2 linked regions of the Arabidopsis thaliana genome follow. The protein of the gene in region 1 purifies or fractionates together with the protein of each later gene. This does not show direct contact. Each region holds a gene or a part of one and is shown on either strand. Other genes may lie near its edges. The genes, in order: AT1G53060 and PPa2.

The links.
Region 2: the proteins of AT1G53060 (region 1) and PPa2 fractionate together in Arabidopsis thaliana (co-fractionation; one large-scale study listed by BioGRID). This does not show direct contact.

What each region holds. Positions count from the first base shown.
Region 1 is NC_003070.9:19,769,354-19,780,904, forward strand, and holds AT1G53060 (Legume lectin family protein), read left to right. Parts: upstream 1-6,569; 5' UTR 6,570-6,698; coding exon 6,699-7,427; 3' UTR 7,428-7,677; downstream 7,678-11,551. Other genes in the region: AT1G53050 (Protein kinase superfamily protein), read left to right, coding at 3,221-3,637, 3,916-4,200, 4,291-4,608, 4,711-4,938, 5,040-5,140, 5,267-5,375, 5,469-5,876, 5,960-6,178; AT1G53070 (Legume lectin family protein), read left to right, coding at 9,018-9,836.
Region 2 is NC_003071.7:7,931,423-7,939,174, forward strand, and holds PPa2 (pyrophosphorylase 2), read right to left. Parts: upstream 2,932-7,752; 5' UTR 2,789-2,931; intron 2,151-2,788; 5' UTR 2,139-2,150; coding exon 1,997-2,138; intron 1,907-1,996; coding exon 1,878-1,906; intron 1,780-1,877; coding exon 1,714-1,779; intron 1,492-1,713; coding exon 1,384-1,491; intron 1,290-1,383; coding exon 1,224-1,289; intron 1,135-1,223; coding exon 1,014-1,134; intron 923-1,013; coding exon 841-922; intron 760-840; coding exon 717-759; 3' UTR 501-716; downstream 1-500. Other genes in the region: AT2G18220 (Noc2p family), read left to right, coding at 123-429; AT2G18240 (Rer1 family protein), read left to right, coding at 4,044-4,405, 4,629-4,863, 4,974-5,042; AT2G18245 (alpha/beta-Hydrolases superfamily protein), read left to right, coding at 5,931-6,559, 6,678-6,780, 7,409-7,602, 7,690-7,752.

The sequences.
Region 1 (11,551 bases):
ATAATTCATAAACATATCATAAATAAGATCAACATTAGTAAAATAAATGAGTTTTTTTTACAGGACGAGTTGGCGGGACGGGTTTGGCAAGACGTTACTTAATAACAATTGTAAACTATAAAATAAAATATTTTATAGATAGATACAATTTGCAAACTTTTATATATATTTATTTAAAAAATAAATTGTTCCCGCGGTGTACCGCGGGTTAAAATCTAGTTTGTTTATAATTTGGTAACAAATAGATATTTGAATATTCGGTATATTTTGCTTCAGTTTAGAAAATCTTTGATGACCCGTCTTTAGATCCAATAAACCCTATAATTAAGAGATAAATATTGTCGTTAAATAATTTTGGTAACTTTAATGACGTTATTAAATGATTTTTTTGATTAATTTATACTAATAGCATTATTATGTAATTAATTACAAAAATTAAGGTTATATTTAAAATGTACTTCTCAAATAATATAGTAGAATACCTCGTGCTATAGGTATATTCTTTCTATCAACGAACTCATTCAACATGTTGATGTTTTACTTCTTAGTAACTCGATCGATTAACTGATTAACAATCAAGTGAAGATGGAAATTTACTCTCTTTATTCTGGCTGGTGTTGGTTTGGAATCCAGTATCCAAAGCTCTTACTCGATCAAAATAAATTACCCGAACCAACCCTATATTGAATGCATAATTCTACCAGTTGTCCAATTCTTTAGCCAACAAAATACTTTTCACCCACACGGCCACATAACTAGCTTGCTGATGAAAAACTATTTTTTTTGTTTCTTTGGGAAATATATTTTACATCTTTCTTCGATACAAAAAATGTTCTCTATATATTTTCTAACTAGAAAGATGTGCATTTGGCAACACTTCTAGAAAAGGTTTTTTGCGTACGATTACTGTGTTTGGTTGCTTGTAAGATTGTTTTAAAATTACCTCTTAAAACATGTCTCGGTGATTCAAAATGTTAGACGAAAATAGTTACATTTTGATAGTTATGAAAATCATTATTCAAACCATTTTCTGGTGCGTTTGTTTAATTTGTTATGTGTGTTTCGTCTTATTCCGCACCATTTGCATATAGCATCTGAAAATACAACAAACAAATCATATATTTTTAGTAAAAAAATCCAAAAATATTAAAAGATTAAATAGTTTTAGTACAATGGTATGGTATCATTCGTATGGTTGGTGTATGAATTGATAATAATATGTGGTACACATTTATATTATAGCCGTTCTCTGAAATAATACATGTGATCATTTCGAAGATTTTATAGTATATATCAGTTCTCTAAGAGAATGGGCCCAAATTTGTTTTATTGTCTAAAATGAAGATGACAAGTCTATTAAATTCGGTCGTAACTTGTAAGCATAATGTGGATAATCACTCTTCTCCAATTATTAGGTAAACGAACTGATGCTGACGATTATTTTTTTCTTATATCTTTGAAAATCATTTCATTCATATCATATAACTACAGTATTATTTTAAATAAAAAAAAATCTTAGAATTTGATATCATTCAAAAAAGTGTTAGTTCTAATCAGGGTTCTAACTGTTAATGCCAGTAATGTGAACATTAATTATACTCATAATTGTATGCGATAAGATTTTTTTTAAACTATAGAATACGGTGTAAACTATAATTAGTTGACCATTCATGCAATTATTGTTTTTATTTTATTAATAGCAAATTTAGATAACTTTTAATAAAACGAAAAACTGATTCAGAAAACTGTATCTTAAAGTCAGGTAGATAGCAAAATAGAAATGACTTGGAGACTAAAATTGTATAATTACTTCATTCAAACTATAACGTCCCTATTTAAAAATCTATCTTAATTTCATTAGTGCAGGGATTATGGGAATTAAAAATAAATTACATATGGAAGATGGAAGCGAAAGCGAAAAGGCTTTTGACGTTTACCTCAATAGAAAATTTCAATACTCTCGTTGCATGAACATGAAGTTTACGCGCTTTGAATATTAAATTATAGTCTATAGATTCACTATTCTTGTTTTTCTTTACTTCGTAAAGAACAAAAATTTAGTTTTGTATAGAGTTAAAAAAGACAAATACAATACTAGTTCTTACAATTCACTGTAATATGAATATGTAACAAATTGTCCGTCATAAGATTATAATAATATAATTTTATTAGAATGTATTTTTTTTTAAAAACATAAACCGTGTTATAGTGATATTTTTGATACTCGTTACACTGATTTACGATATTATTTCTTTATATAATGATATTTATTACGTAAACTGTATAATGTATTTAATTTTTGGTGAATTTATTTTACAATTAGTTCAAAATTTTAAATGAGTTGGAAAACAAATATGAAAATAAGGGTTTGATTAGTTTTTTTAATTATGATTATTTAAGATTAGAAAAAGTGTTTTTTAACGAATCACATCGAGAATGTCTTTCTCATTATCCAGTTTCGATTTTGTCCCACACAAAAAAGTAAATTAAATGGTAAGGTTTTTTTTTGGGTTCAACTATTAAATAAGTTATTAACTGCGAAATACAACTATACTCATAAATACATAAGTGAAAAAAAAATTCACACTACCGAACGTATTTATTATTATTAAAATGCTCATAATATTACTTTTTGGAGTTTCCAATTTTTACAAAGGTTTTTTAATTCATTCAACATTGTGCTTCAACAACACATGCGTCTCTCAGAAATCTCTCCGCCCCAGATCCATCTCTCTCTCAAGCAAACACTCTTAAACCCTTTTGATTTCTCCTCATAATTATTCTCGAAAGCTCCATTGTTTATTAGTTATTCCTGCAAATTATTCAATTTTACCATTTTGCTTCTGGTTTTTTTAGTCGTCTCTCTCTCTCTTCAATCTCTTGAAAGGTACTTGCTTTATGCACAAAAGTTATAATCCTGGGTTTTTTTGTACTACACTGTAGTTATTAATGCCTGAACAATCTTCTTGATCTGGGTACATTTTGCAGATTGAGTAAAAATCATTCCTTTTTTTTTCTGGGTTATATACACTGTTCTTCGAGTTCTAGGGTTCCTTAATTTCGTTTCTCCTTTTTGGAAAGTCTCTGACTTTATGTGTTTTAATGGGTCTAGTTTTTTCATGTGGTCCATTTAATTAGCTAGTGGAAGAAGATGGATGAATTGTGTAAAGATTATTTTTGGTTCTAAGTATCAAAAAAATTTGGGGGTAAATTGAGGGAGATGGGTTGTGTTTGTGGTAAGCCTTCTGCTATTGAAGATAGCAAAGATAGTCCAAGAGAGCGTTTCTCAAGCAAATCCTCTTCTGAGTTTAGAGTTTCAAGACCGGTTGCTTCTTCTAGAAGGGAGGAGCCGCTTAGGATTAAGGAACGGTCTGATGTTGTTAGTGTAAGACCAGTGTTGAGTAATAAGCAATCCAATGTTTCGTTGCATTTGCGTGGAGAGAATTTGAGTAGAAGAGAGAAGAGGATTGAGAATGTTGCTGCTACTTCACCTCTTGCAATGAGTATTACCATAGCTAAAGCAACTGAAGGAGAGTATGTAGCTGCAGGTTGGCCTCCATGGCTGGCTTCTGTAGCTGGAGAAGCTATCAGGGGATGGGTTCCTCGGCGTGCGGATTCTTTTGAGAAGTTGGACAAAGTAATCTTCTTTTCTTTGTATATATACATTCATTTTGAAAATACTGTTAAATAGACTCTTTTGATTGCATGACATATAGTGGCATGTTTCCGTATTTAGAAACATATCCTAAGCTCCAAAGATATGGGTTGCAGTAAATGATGCTTTTATGTTATTGAAAGTGGATTTTGTTTTTCAGTTGATGGTTTTTAAAACTATATAACATGACCTGAAAAGGTTTTGAACTTATAGCTGTGAAGAATGATCCCTGATGCAGCGGTTTTAATTGTTTTATGCAGATTGGTCAGGGCACTTATAGTAATGTATATAGGGCTCGCGACCTGGATCAGAAGAAAATTGTGGCTTTGAAGAAAGTTAGGTTTGATAACTTGGAGCCAGAAAGTGTGCGTTTTATGGCTAGAGAAATCCAGATATTACGCCGGCTTGATCATCCTAATATCATAAAGCTAGAAGGCTTAGTTACGTCAAGAATGTCTTGCAGCTTATATCTTGTTTTCGAGTACATGGAACACGATTTAGCTGGGCTAGCCTCGCATCCCGCGATAAAATTTTCTGAATCACAGGTAACTTTTTTTTGTTTCTATTCAACATCTTCATGACCTAGGCACCACTTTCAGTACAATTTTCTGAGGCTGGGCTTTCTTTTCATACAGGTTAAGTGCTACCTGCAGCAACTATTACATGGACTAGACCATTGTCACAGTCGTGGTGTACTCCATCGGGATATAAAAGGCTCAAACCTGCTAATAGATAATAGTGGAGTTTTAAAGATTGCTGACTTTGGATTAGCTAGTTTCTTTGATCCTCGTCAAACTCAGCCTTTGACCAGTCGTGTGGTAACTCTTTGGTACCGTCCACCTGAGCTTTTGCTCGGAGCAACTCGCTATGGAGCAGCAGTTGATTTGTGGAGTGCAGGTTGCATTCTTGCTGAACTATATGCAGGCAAGCCTATTATGCCTGGTAGAACCGAGGTAGATTTACAGTTTTTGTTTTCTCTTTTAGTGTTTGCTCTGATTTATGTTAGACTAGTTTGGTTTCGTAAGGTGACTCTGGTAATGCTTATGGTGTTACAGGTGGAACAGTTGCACAAGATTTTCAAGCTATGTGGCTCGCCTACCGAGGACTATTGGGTAAAATCAAGGTTGCCTCATGCAACAATTTTCAAGCCTACTCAACCATATAAACGCTTAGTGGGTGAAACATTCAAGGAGTTTCCTCAGCCAGCTTTAGCCCTTCTTGAAACTCTCCTTTCAGTCAATCCTGACGATCGTGGAACTGCCACTGCAGCTCTCAAGAGTGAGGTACTGGCATTACTCAGGCAGTAAAAGCTGTGTGTTCTTATGCGTCTGTATTTCCTGGTAATCGCTTTTGTAACATCAAATTATCATTCTTTTATTTTCAGTTCTTCTCCACCAGACCTCTTCCATGTGATCCTTCAAGCTTGCCTAAATATCCTCCCAGCAAAGAGCTCGATGCAAGAATGCGGGATGAGGAAAGTAGAAGGTATGCCATCCAGATTTTCTAGTCTGATGTGACTTTTATCCTGCAATGCTCTTACGATAGCATAGTATCATTAACGCAAAAAGAAATATTTATAGAAATGCTTTAATCTAGTTCCTGTTTTTGTAGACAAGTTGGAGGAAACAGGGACCAAAGACACCAAGAAAGAAGAGGAACTAAGGAATCTCGAGCCATCCCAGCCCCTGACGCAAATGCAGAGCTGGTTGCATCAATGCAGGTTAAAAAATCTTAAAAAATCTATTTCTTTCGATGTTAAAGCTTTTTGCTTTTATTCAACGTTTTTGACCCTCTCGCATTTATGTCATTGCAGAAAAGGCAGAGCCAGTCTACTAATAGAAGTCGAAGCGAGAAGTTTAATCCACATCCTGAAGAAGTTGCATCCGGTTTCCCAATCGATCCACCAAGGCCGTCATCACAAGCATTTGAACCAAACAGAGAATCTCAGGGCAATATAATTCCTCACAAGAGAGCTTCACATTCTGGTCCTCTATCACGTAGATCTGCTTCCGCAAAGGGTAGACGGAATTACCAAGATTCTCAAAAGGTTTCATCCATAGCTGATTACTCAGCAATGCCTGGTTTTGCCGCAACAAGAACAGGCGCACCACAACAAGAGACTTGCAGAGGAATGACTCGGCTTCCAGGTTCATTCAAGGAAACGTCTGAAGAAGCAAACCAGGAAGAGAATGGTCGAAGCAACAAGAAAGACCCTATTCTCGTAAGTTCCCTAAACGTCCCTCCTTTGCTAATTTTAGAAGACTAGCAATGTTAATATTCTGAGTTGTATGGTTTGGTTTGCAGTTGGGTTATGGATCAAAAGGGCACAAGATTCATTACTCAGGACCGTTAGTGGTTCCATCAGGAAACATGGATCAAGTGTTGAAAGACCATGACCGACATATCCAAGAAGCTGTGAGAAGAGCACGAATCGATAAGGCTCGAGTCAAGAAACTTCAAGCTGACGAAGCTTCGAGCCAACAAGTCGCAACCAATCATCCCTCATCTGTTTCTAGCCGTTGATCCATCAGTGAGGCAAAAGTAAATGATCAAACCGAACCTCATTTGCCTGAAACCTTTTAACACGGCGTATTTTGAGTGAAAAATAATTGTATTTTATTGATTCAAAGATTATATATCATCATAGAATCAAATCTTTTCACGTTTTAGCTTCCCTGTAATGTGATATTATTTTATTATAAGAAAGCTGTAGAAACAGAGTTATATATCATAATTTAGAAAATGTTCCAAAAGTTGAACTTTTTAATTTGTGACTTTTTATGAAATTTACCAAGAAAGGTGTTACGAGATCTTTACTTGTGAAAAATAAATGATCTTGTCGAGTCAAACTTTGTTGGCTCTCTTTCACTATATAAATCTTGTTATCCTCTTATACTTTCCATATCCAAGAAAAAAATAAACAGAATTGCAGATCAAAACACTCTGTTTCATTCCTCTGTTTTTTGCTCTGTTTTGCTCTCACGCCATAACGTGTTCTGCTTACAGTTTCGACTTCATTTACTTCGGAAATGGAACTGATCTGATGACATTCCATGGAGACGCCGAGTACGCTTCAGAGCCTGATGGTATGAGCAAGTCAGGAGCAATTGGATTGAGCCGTGACAATGTCCCATTCTCTCATGGTCGAGCCATTTTCATCAATCCAGTCCCTTTTAAGCCTAGTTCTACTTCTTCCTCTGTCTACTCTTTCAAAACTTCTTTCTATTTCGTCATTAGTCCTCGCCCGAAAAATCCTAATCCCGGTCATGGCCTCGCCTTTATCATCGTCCCCAACGATAGAAACGACTCCGCTTCTGGTTTAGGCTATCTCAGTCTTGTGAACCGGTTTAGCAACGGTAATCCCAAGAACCATCTCTTTGCGGTTGAGTTTGATGTTTTTAAAGACAAGTCTCTTGGCGACATTAACGATAACCATATCGGAATCAACAATAATTCGGTTAATTCAACGGTATCTAAGAAGGCCGGTTATTGGTATCAATCAAAAATCGAAGGAAAAAACCGGTGGTTGTTCAAGGAATTGAAGCTAAGTGGAAACGGATACAGGGCTTGGATTGAGTACGAGAACGGGAAAGTGACAGTCACGATCGGACGTTCACAAGAAAAACCGAAGAGGCCATTGATCGAAGCACGAGTCGATCTTTCTAAGGTTTTTCTCGAGAAAATGTATGTCGGTTTTGCCGGTTCAATGGGACGTGGCGTCGAGCGTCACGAGATCTTGGACTGGAGTTTTGAGAACAGTGCCAAAGACTAATAAACCGGTTTGCTTCAGCTTTGTTTATGTCAAAGTTGTTACTGGTTTTGCAGCTTCGTTTTCTGTCGTGAATCTCGTGATGCTAAGGCTAGTGATAGTTGAAGGCTAATAAATGCTTATGTTATGGCCTAACGTGCCATGTATCTACTTTCAGATTTCTAGAAAGATTTACAATAAAGGATCCATTTCCATAGTAAGAACTATTAGATATCGTAATCTTCTATGAGACGGTAAATTGCTGAAAAACCAGTAAGGCATGTGCCTATGTAGGCTTCAACATAGATCCTTTCCTGCAACGATCTATGTCAAGAATTAACTACAAATATTCGTCATTTGAAACATATTCTCACACAATACGTTTCATTGAGTGAAACTCGGTATACAAACTTAATCACACCATGAAAATAGACTACTCTCCACACACAAAAAAAATGTACCAGTAAGGAAATTTGAACACATACGTATGACATCCAACCATATCATGATACTTCTTTATCATCAAGTCGGGTAAGCCCTATTTCGCCTGATTTGGCTCTCATCTCAAAATTTCTCCGACCTTTTTCTGGACGAGTCGTCTCGTCTTCTTTCCCTTTTTGTAACCTCATTGCAAGTTTGCAACAACAAAAACAATCCAATGATTACTTCATTGCATGGTTTAAACAAAAACAATCCAATAATATATATACATATTTTATCAATAAAGTATATTTATAAGTTAGGTTGATTTTTTTAATATATTTTTTTTTTATTTTTTTATTTTATATTATTTACTAAGACATTCTATTTTGGTTTAAAAACTTTAGAACTAAATGGTGATGATTTAAAAGTTAAATGGAGTGATTTAAAAGTAAACAAATGTTTCTTTAGTATCAAACTTTGTTAATTTTTAGGTCATAATCAAATTGAATGACATTAAAGAAAAATCTAACCATTTAATATACATATATACACATAATGGAAATTGTTAATTTGGTGATAATAAGAGAAGTTAAAAATACATGATTTGGTAACTCTATATATTTGAAAAAAATTTAAATGTGTTTGGTAAATGACTAAATGGTTTAAAGAGAATGAGGATAAAGAAAAATGTGTTTGACAAATTGATAGTTATAACAAAATAATTAAATAGTAAAAAAGCTGAGAGAAAAAATGTGGGATTGTCACATAAGCACTAAAAACTTTTAATATATAAAGGACACATAGTATATTGTTAATTAAGAAAAATTTGGTTTTGGTATAACTTAATGAAATATGATAGATTTGATCATGAATGTGGACTAACTTATATCTTTCCTAACCTATATATTAGGACAGACTAACTTATATACATATATAAGTTTATTCAATCAATACTAGTTTTAATTTCCTCCTATACACTCATAACGTTTTTGTTTTCAGCATTGTGGGCACAGAAAAAGTAGAACCATTTTGTGCACTTTCGAGAACAGCTTTTGTCATCTAATGCCATAATTCAAATTCTTTGTCTCTCTTCTCTCTCAATTATTTTAAGTCTTCTCGATCTTTTCAACACTCACATCTTTTAAAGTTCACCACTTTCACTTCCCAAATTCCCAAAAACAGAACTAAAAAATGAAGATCCAAATACTCTGTTTCACCACTCTGTTCTTAGCTATCTTCACCTCTCAAGTCACCACTGCTTACAAATTCAAATTCGATTACTTTGGTAACGGCACCGATCCAATATCATTCCATGGAGACGCTGAGTATGGTCCTGACACTGATGGCAAGAGCCGGTCCGGAGCCATCGCATTGACTCGAGACAACATTCCTTTCTCTCATGGTCGAGCCATTTTCACCACTCCAATCACTTTCAAGCCTAATGCTTCAGCTCTTTACCCTTTTAAAACCTCTTTCACTTTCTCCATTACTCCTAAAACAAACCCTAATCAAGGTCATGGCCTTGCTTTCATCGTCGTCCCAAGTAACCAAAACGACGCCGGTTCCGGTTTAGGCTATCTCAGTCTTCTGAACCGAACCAATAACGGTAATCCTAATAACCACCTCTTTGCCGTTGAGTTCGATGTCTTTCAAGACAAATCTCTTGGCGACATGAACGATAACCATGTCGGAATCGATATTAATTCGGTTGATTCGGTGGTTTCTGTGAAATCCGGTTATTGGGTTATGACAAGAAGCGGTTGGTTATTTAAGGATTTGAAGCTAAGTAGTGGAGATAGATACAAGGCTTGGATTGAGTACAACAACAATTATAAAGTAGTCTCTGTTACGATTGGTTTAGCGCATTTGAAGAAACCGAACCGGCCATTGATTGAAGCAAAATTCGATCTTTCCAAGGTCATACACGAGGTAATGTATACCGGTTTTGCTGGTTCGATGGGTCGTGGTGTCGAGCGTCACGAGATTTGGGACTGGACTTTCCAGAATTAAGAAAACAGGTTTGGTTTGGTTCGAGATCATCGGTTTTCTTTTGGTTTATGTTTCTGGTTTACCCTGGTGTGCCTTCAGCTTGTGATAATTGAAGTGAAATAATTGCTCATTTTATGTCTTACCGACAATTTGATGTATTATTGTTGTCAGATTAGTAGAAATCAAGGACGTTTCGTTCCTAATCTTTTATGTTAGTCACTTTTAAATTACATTTCTCGTTGACAAAAAAAGAAAAAATGATTTTACATTCTATCAAAATTGGCCAACATGACTAGATGAGAATCAGATTTATAGGAGAAATGTGGAGATCGTAGTTATGGGACTATCAAAATAGTCTAAAACATCTTAACATGTTTACCGGAAAAAAAGAGTCTACTACCAACTATGTTGTTTTGTGGAAGACTTTTAAAGAGGAAATGTTACATGCCAAGTGGATTATAACACTCCATGATGCGACTTGGAAAATGAGAGATCTAGGAACGAAGGAAAGGAGGACTTGATGAATTGTCGGAAAGTTGTCTCGTTTCTTTCAGATTATGTTGTAAAAGTGTGATAGAGATGAATGCTCTTTGAGATTATATATCGTGGTTGTATATACGCTCTTTCTCATATCTATTTCGTATTCTCCCTCTTTCAGTGAGATATTTTTTTAGTGTTTTTGCTTTATCCAATTGAAGAGTGTGTCCTCGTTGTCGAGGCTTGGACAGACAGCATCTCATAATTTTACCTACGACGATGTGATTTGACTACAATCATCAATCTGCTAGAATAGAATTTGACGTGTTTTTGGTGGAGGATCGTGCTAGGCAAAGGTGACCATGCGACAAGCGAAAGGAATCATTGATCTAGGACCTCCAAAGTTTTCGGCCTCATCAACAAAACAATAATCTAAAAATGGACCCTTTGCAATATAACAAAGCCTTCATGAACTCTAATTTTTTAAAATGTTTTGTCATTTCTTTGATAACTAGTCCAAAAAATACCAGAACAATCTTTTCTTGCGTTTGGACTCCTTAAATATCAAGACCGGCTCTAGTGGAAATATAATTAGTAGTAAGGATTAGATAAATTTTCTTATGAGTTATTGTGTTTATTCGACTTTAATGATAAACTAGATGAGTACCCGCACTACGTGCGGGTTTATGTATTACTATTTACAAATTGTTTTATATAATGTTTGTTCATATAACATAAAGTAAAGTTGAATGCATCGGTTTTGAAACATAAATATGATTTGTAATTGTTTTTGAAAAGTCCAACTATATTAGTTCATATGAAAAACGAATATGCTTGAGTTGTTTTTTTTTATTGTTGTTCTAGATTCTCAGTTTTTTTAAAATTTATATATCCTTGTTTTTTTTGTTATATGTTTAGATTGTGGGACGGTGAAATTTTAGAAAATTTGTTTCTTATACTAAAAATATAACATGTCTTTATTAACCATGTCTTTGCATATTAAATCTAATCATATTTAACTTGATGTTCTTGGAAAGTTTAGTTAAGTTCTTGTCATAATCTTATATCTTACATATTAGTTATAAGGATAGCTCCTCAAACATCTTTCAAAATACTTGTTTCTTAGCATAATTCTCGAAAAGCTTAGATATATTTAATCTGCATATTCATTTAGTTTCTTTCATAATAATCGTCTAATTTTTAGGCAAGGAATATGTGTAACATGTTTGGATTTTATGATCACTTTAACCACTCAAGTA
Region 2 (7,752 bases), on another chromosome or scaffold:
GTGGCTTTATCAACTTAAGAATATAGATAGGATGGGAACCGGGTTGTCTCCTACGCCTATAACGTAGATATTTTATCTGACCGTTGTGATATAACCTAAAACAACAAATGTGTAATTAACAGAGAAAAAGAGCCGGAAGAAGAGAAAACGAAAAAGAAGAAAAGGAAGAGAGGTGGAAAGAGTAAAACAGAGAAGAAGCAGGATGAGCAAGGCTTAGGAGAAGATGACGTTGTGGAGGATTTTGTGTTGAGTTCTGATGAAGAGGAAGAGGATCTGTTTGATATAGGAGGAGACAAAGATGAAGATGATGCAGTAGACGAAATTGCAGATCCTGAGACCAAGACATCTAAGAAGACTAAGGGCACTTATAAGACCTGGCATAAGGCTTACAAAAAGACCAAGAAGAAGAAGGCCCGAGTAGCTTCTTAAGTTTTTTTTGTATCTTCTTCGATTTGTATGAGAGTACTTTTCGGATGTTTGCGAAACAACATTAAACAAAATTTTGGGGAAAAGAAAAGCTAATATTTCAAATTTTATGATTGTACTGGAAATTTTTCATCATCATCAGAAAGCTTTAAGTTCAACAATGTTTTCTGATGAGCATTACGAAATTAAATGCACCAATTGAAATTTTATCTAACATGCATGTAGTATAGAAGGCGGCTTCAGTGATGTCTAAGCAAACCGGGAGGAACGGAAAAGGACTGGTTTCTTCATTAGCGTTGCAGGCCAGCTTTGATGTAAGCTGCGTAAAGATCCCTGCGTTTCAAAACAGTACATTGCTCATTATTAACAAAACAACGTGTAAATAATTTGGTGTTTGGGATAAAACAAACTTACATGGAGTCCTTGATAGCGTCTATGGCAGCTTGAGCGGGAAGGAAAGCTTCAACGTCGACTTTCTTGTTCTCGTTCTTCTTGTCTAAAAACATTGTTTGTTAAGTGAAAACTGAAAACAAATCATAAGCGAAAACAAAATTATACGTTAAATGCAACATGTCTCTGTAGGATACAGTCCTCAAAGAAGCGACGGATTTCAGCTAGACGGTGAGGGGGAAGCTCTTTGATGTCTCTGTAGTGACGGAACTCGGGATCATCAGCACATACTGCAATGATCTTGTCGTCTTTCTCACCCTGCAAGTTTCAGAACAAGGTGATTCCTGGTTTCTTACTAAGGTAATACATTACATAGAGGTAGAATTGGGTTTAAGAGTTTTTGTTACCTGATCAATCATGGGCATTAGACCAATAGCACGGGCACGGAGGAATGATCCGGTTAGCACAGGCTCCTGCACAGTATTTTATCTCAAGTCTGTTATTTCACTGCCTGTTTACATCAAGTTTGTATGAACATGAAAGCTAAGATGAGGCGAGAGAAAGCACCTGCATCAGTACCAGGACATCCATTGGATCACTGTCTTCACAGATAGTTCGAGGGATGAAACCGTAGTTGTGGGGGTACACAATGGATGAGTAGAGAACGCGATCAACCTAGAGAGGAAAACTTTCAGTGATCAGAGTTTTTCTTCATTTCGACTCTTACGGTGAAGGATATTTAGTTGGAATGCATAAAATGTGACTTATGATATATCTAGCAACAAAGAATTCCTCATATAACCGCATAATCAGACTATATATTGAGGGATCAGAAGACAGGTTATACTCAATCAAAGCATATATGATGCAAGCAGAGACTGCCAAAGAACACTGTACCTTAATAAGGCCACTGTTCTTGTCTAGCTCGTACTTAACCTTTCCACCTTTGCTAATTTCAACAACCTGACAAAGAATTCAAGCACATTTAACAATCACAAGACCAGCACTAACTTTCTTAATATGATCTAATCTTCCGCAATGTAGAAGAAGATAAAACTTACACAGTTGAAAACAGTAGGAGCTTCTGGACCTGAAAGATTCAACAAACAAAACACTTACATCAAACAATCAACACTTGACTCACATGACTATTCAAAGTAACAAAGACAAGGATTCTTACCAATCTCCAAGTCATGCCAAGGATGAGCAGCAGCTGATCTGTGAGTGAAGGCTGCAAAGTTTCTCTCATTCAGCGTAACATTAGGGTTCCTGAGAGGGAAAGCATAGCCCTTGGCGCTTCCTTCATCCTTGATTTCAGCCATATCGGATGTTCACTATAATATGCAAACAAAAGGAGAGTCTCATTCAATCATATACCAAACTCAAAACAGGCCATATAAATTATTCTCACTACTTAACCATTTCATACAATAACCACCAGACAAATCCTTCAACATTCCAGCAGAATCCAATCTTATAAACCATAAAAAATGACTGTTCAAATCCGAGCAGAGAAATGAAGCACACATTTCTACGATGGTTCACTGTTCTAATGCAACTCAATATCATCTTAGGCAAATATCTAACAACGCGAAAGGCTAAAGTATCAGAGATATGCGAAGAACATAGATCCATCATCGATTTCATGTAAATACACATCAAAACACTCAAATCACCAACTAGTCTAAGCTACATCAATTGGAAACTGAAATAGAATCGAAAAACAGAACTAATCCAAACAAATGAAAGATAATCGACGAATCGATCATCTGTGAAGACCAATCCAAGTACTCGGCGCTCAAAACGAAACGAAACCAACAAGAAAATAGCAAAATCAAACGAAATCGCTTCGATTCAACAAGAAGTGATCAAAACAAGTACCATTAACAGGAGAAGATAAACTAAAAATGACCTAATCGACGGATTTCGAAGGAAAAAAAGAAACGAGAGAAGAAGAAGAAGATGATCTTACAGATGAAATCTCAAGCTTCAATCGCGAAACCGAAGCAGAGAATCCGTAACGTTTTTTTCTTTCTTTCTTCTCTCTTCGTTTAAGAAAACAACAAGATTTTGCAGTTACAGTAGAGTTTTCGTGTGACTGTGTGTGTGGCGCTTCTTTATGGGACGTTGGAGGAGGAAGAAGACGCTGACGTCACTTTTTCCTCGGTTATTGTTCATCGTCAATCGTACGATGAATCGTGTCCGTTGAATTTGAAAGGTTAATGGATCTGACGGCCATGGTTTTTCAAGATTTTAATATCTTTCTTAAAAAAATAGTTAGTGTACCTTTTAATTGAACGAAAAGAAAAAGAGACGACAGTGATGTACCAAAAAAGTATCCGACTAACAAATTGTTATATGACGCGTGTCCTGAAAATTAGGCAATTTCTTTCAGTGAATTCCTTATTTTATTTTGTCTGTTTTTGGCAAACAAATTTATTATTTTCTTAGGATAAAGAAATGAATTTATATCACTCATTCTTCTTTCTTTCTTTTTTGTTTTCACTCAAAATCAGTCACTCATTATTCTGTGTATTTATTATTTTCTTTTTTGTTTTCATTATTCTGTCACAAAAACAAGTTGAATAACAAATTACCACTTTTGATATTTTTCTTTTTTCATAAGTATCTAATATGTCAAATGGGAAAAAATGATCATTATTGAGCTGTGGGGTTAACCACAACCAAAAAAACTGTGTCGTATGGATGTGACCATCGAGCAGTGTTTTTTTGGTGACTGTCAACTAGAATTACAAGTCTAGAGAATCATACGCAAAACGTTAAAATTCGGTTTAAGGTCCCAGAGAAACAAAAAAGATTCGGTTTTGGATTCTTTCTGGTTGGGCCTCACAGAATATCGAATCGTTCCATGTAAAAACCAAAAAAAGTTCAACATATTTTCCCTACTGGGCTTAAACAAATATTTTATGAAGCCCAACATGTTTAACAAAAGTATCTTACTTTGCGACACGTGTCATGTTCCTTCTCCCCACGTCATTCAGTTTCTTCCTCTTCTTTCCAGAAAAACCAAGACTTTAATACGACTAAGAAAAATTCAGACGAAACTGAGAAACTTTCAATTTAATTGGTTCAAAATCATCCTAAATCGAGTAGATTGTTTTGAATCGATTTTTGAAGTTGATTCGAAGTTCAGTGATTGTGATTAGAATTTATAACCAGACCCAGTTTTTGAGGTGAAGAAAAAGCAGATTTTGTGTTCAATTTCCATGGAAGACGAACCAGGAAGCGAAAATGAAGCAGACACCATAGTTGCTTCACCACTTGCAAAATGGAGAATCGAATTCTCGAAATCGTTTCAGAATTACTTAGACAGATCTGCTCCTAACATTGTTCGAAGATGGCTTGTGACTTTAGTCGCTGCAGTGATCTATATCTATAGGGTTTACTCTGTTTATGGATACTTCGTTATCTCTTATGGCTTAGCTACTTATATCTTAAATCTCTTGATTGGTTTCCTTTCCCCTAAAGTTGATCCTGAACTTGAAGCTTTGGATCCTGATTCTTTACCTGTTGATGAGTCTGATGAGTATAAGCCCTTTGTTCGTCGTCTTCCTGAGTTCAAGTTCTGGTAAAATTTCTCTTTTACTTTTGATGATGGATGATTTTGATTTAGGTTTGTCGAAAAGTTTGTGTTTTTACCATTCATTGTTAAAGTTCTGGTAGATTTCTTCTTTTGAGACAATTTGATTGATGATTGTTATGATAGTGAATTCGTATGAGAACTGATTTAGGTCTAATGGTCTGCTTTAGGGTTTGAATTCTCATGAAAGTTTGTCAATTTTGATTTTCAGGTATGCAGCGACTAAAGCATTTGTTGTTGCATTTGTGATGACATTCTTCTCTTTCCTGGATGTGCCTGTGTTCTGGCCGATCTTGTTGTGTTACTGGTTGGTTTTGTATTCTTTAACTATGAAACGCTTAATCGTGCACATGTTCAAGTATAGATACTTTCCTTTCGATGTAAGAAAGCCTGTGAAGCTGCTCAAGTTTCTTGTAAACAGTGTCCTGACCTTTTTAAGACTCAAGGTAAATCGTGCAACGGGGTGATTTGTATTCGATTTCTTTTGGATAGTCTTGAATCTCTGCTTTAGAAAGTTAAGAGTGCTGAACATAGATTGTGCTGATGTTTTTGACAGAAGGGTGATGGTGGAGATGATAGGCCCAGCAGCAGCAATTCATCTCAGGGAAATGAAAAACAAGATTAGATGCGAACAGTAGATCAGGTACTGATCTCGACGTGGTGATAGGCGAAGCAAGAAAGGATACAAACTAAGGATATCAAAGTAAAATATACTATAGCCATGCTGGTGGAATAGGAAAACAAAGTTCTTGAAGCTTAACAGAACTAAGAAATCTCTCTGAGTTTTGAGTAATCTCCTGCATTTTCCGGTTTTTGCATTGTAATGTGTAACAGTGTATTTTACAATTATACGTTTAAATGAATTTGGGAATCACAAGTAGGAAAAAGTATTCTTTACAGTTCCAGGACTTGGATACTACTCTGGACACAACTAATCACACAAAGCTGTGTTGACAGCCTCCAATACCAAGCACTGGTCCAAATCTCTTTGCAGAAACAGATACAGATTGGTCATCATACTCGGAGAACTGTGTGGACTCGAGTGTACTTACTTGACTTCCTAGGTTAGTATACTTCTCAAGCATTTATGTCTCTTGACTTCTATTGGTTTAGATATCGGTTTGGCAAATATTCATAGGGTTTATGCACAATTACATTTGCAACAACAACAAAATATAGTGAAGGATATAGCAATGAGAGATTACTGGAGAGACTCTATAAGACAGTTTCCGAGGAAGTGCAGTGCGTAAAACCGCAGACTGTTGTCCAATTCAGATATGTTGTACTCTTTGATCCGAGAAAAAGATGGTGTAAACCAAAATGGAACATTTCAAAGTCTGAAAAGAGAGATTGAATCAGCTCCAAGGCATAAGGGAAACCCGCTAATTCAGCAAGACTGTTTAATTTCCTATAAATATTCTATTTTTATTTTCTTTTCAGATATTTATTCATCACTTATCAGCGATTTGACGAGAAGAGCTTTTTGGTTTCTGCGAATCATCCAAAATCCGCCATGGAAGCAACTACAAGAATCTTGAGTACTTCTTCTGCTCTCAATCGTCTTCTTCTTCTCAGTAAGCTCAATCTAAAATCAGATCCCCGTAATATCAATTCCACAAATCAGCTACTACACAATGCCGTTACCCGAAAATCCTCTATCTCCGCCGCTCGTATACGGTGCTCTTCGCTCCCTGCGAATGCGAATCTCTTCAGATCACTCTTCTTCCTAACGTCAACGTTTCGTCTCGAGAACACCGCCGTTCACGCTAATCCATTCCGATCCGAACCTAACGACGGCGTCGCCGTCTGGAACAGAGCTCCACGGATCGTGAACGGAGGTGGAAACGCGGCGATATTCGGCGGGAACGAGGGGAAAGAGACGACGGTGGTTCTCCTTGGTTGGCTAGGAGCGAAAGCTAAACATCTAAGGAGATACGTTGAGTGGTACAACTCCAGGGGAATTAACGCCGTTACTTTCACTGTTGACGTTAGGGATTTGCTCCGGTTAGATCTTGGTCGGCGGCTTGAACGAAGGATAGCTGAATTTGGGAATGAATTGGTTAATTGGGTATCGGAGAAAGAAGATGATGGTAGAGAGAAATGCTTGGTGTTTCACAGTTTCAGTAACACTGGTTGGCTTGTGTAGGTTGATGAAACCAAAATCCTTCAAAATCCTACATTGTGATTGCGATTGTGATTTAGTGTTGATTTGAATTAGATGATGAATTTTAAGCATGGTGGGCTTTTTTACTTTTGGTAGATATGGTGCCTTGCTAGAGAGCTTCATTGGTAGACAAGATTTAGTAGAAAGGATTAAGGGTTGTATCATTGACTCGGGAGGAGCAGATCCTCTTGATACTAAGGTTTGTTCTCTCTTTCATGTAACCAAGAGTTTTAAATGCTATTCAATGGTTTCTCCACTGCTTCAAGATCTTGTATTGGAAGTGGAAATGTCAATATTGTTGTGAAGTGAAAAATTCTATTTGAGCTATGTTGTCCTCTTTTTCAATAATGATTCATTTTATGCTAGTGTGAAAGCTTTGCTAGTTTGAGTTCTATGTTGAAGAACTTTGTATCGATTACAAGCATTTGCAGAACCATGGCTAGGGGACTTTTGATTTTGATATCTAAGCAATTAGCTTTGTAGATAGATAACTCAGTACTTAGAAAAGACTATATAGCTATGAGTTAAAACCGCTGATTTCTTTTGGTTACGTAGCCATCACTCACAGGTTTATAGTACATCGGCCTATATATCTTGTGAATGTGATCTTGTTCTCTTGCAAGATATGATGTCTTAGGCATGTGAACAAGATAAAATGAGCTTCATAGTATGTGCCTGAGTTTGTTCTGAAGCCCCTTTTGTTGAAAATTGCTTAATCATTGCGTAGTCCTAATAAGCCATCATAATCATTCATCTTGCATAAGATTAGCAATGCGTACACCTGTGCAGATTTTATAGATCAACAATTGAATTCTGTTCTTTTGCAGATTTGGGCAGCGGGGTTTACCGCGGCTATACTGAAGAAGCGTAGCTCCACCATAACCACAGAACCAAACAGTCCCATAAAAGAAGAGGATGCTTCAACACCACAAAAGAAGGAACCTTTAGGAATCGAAAACATAATGCTATCATCTCTGGAGAAACTCTTCCCCATCTTCTTAAACCACCCAGACGTCAATACGTAAGCTTCACACCACACAGTAGACAACCCATCTGCTTCTTCTTTGTATATTAGGTTGATTAATCTGAGTTATTGTTTGTATCGCAGGAGGCTAACAAAAATCATTCAAAAACTATATGAGAACCATCCTCCATGTCCTCAGCTCTATCT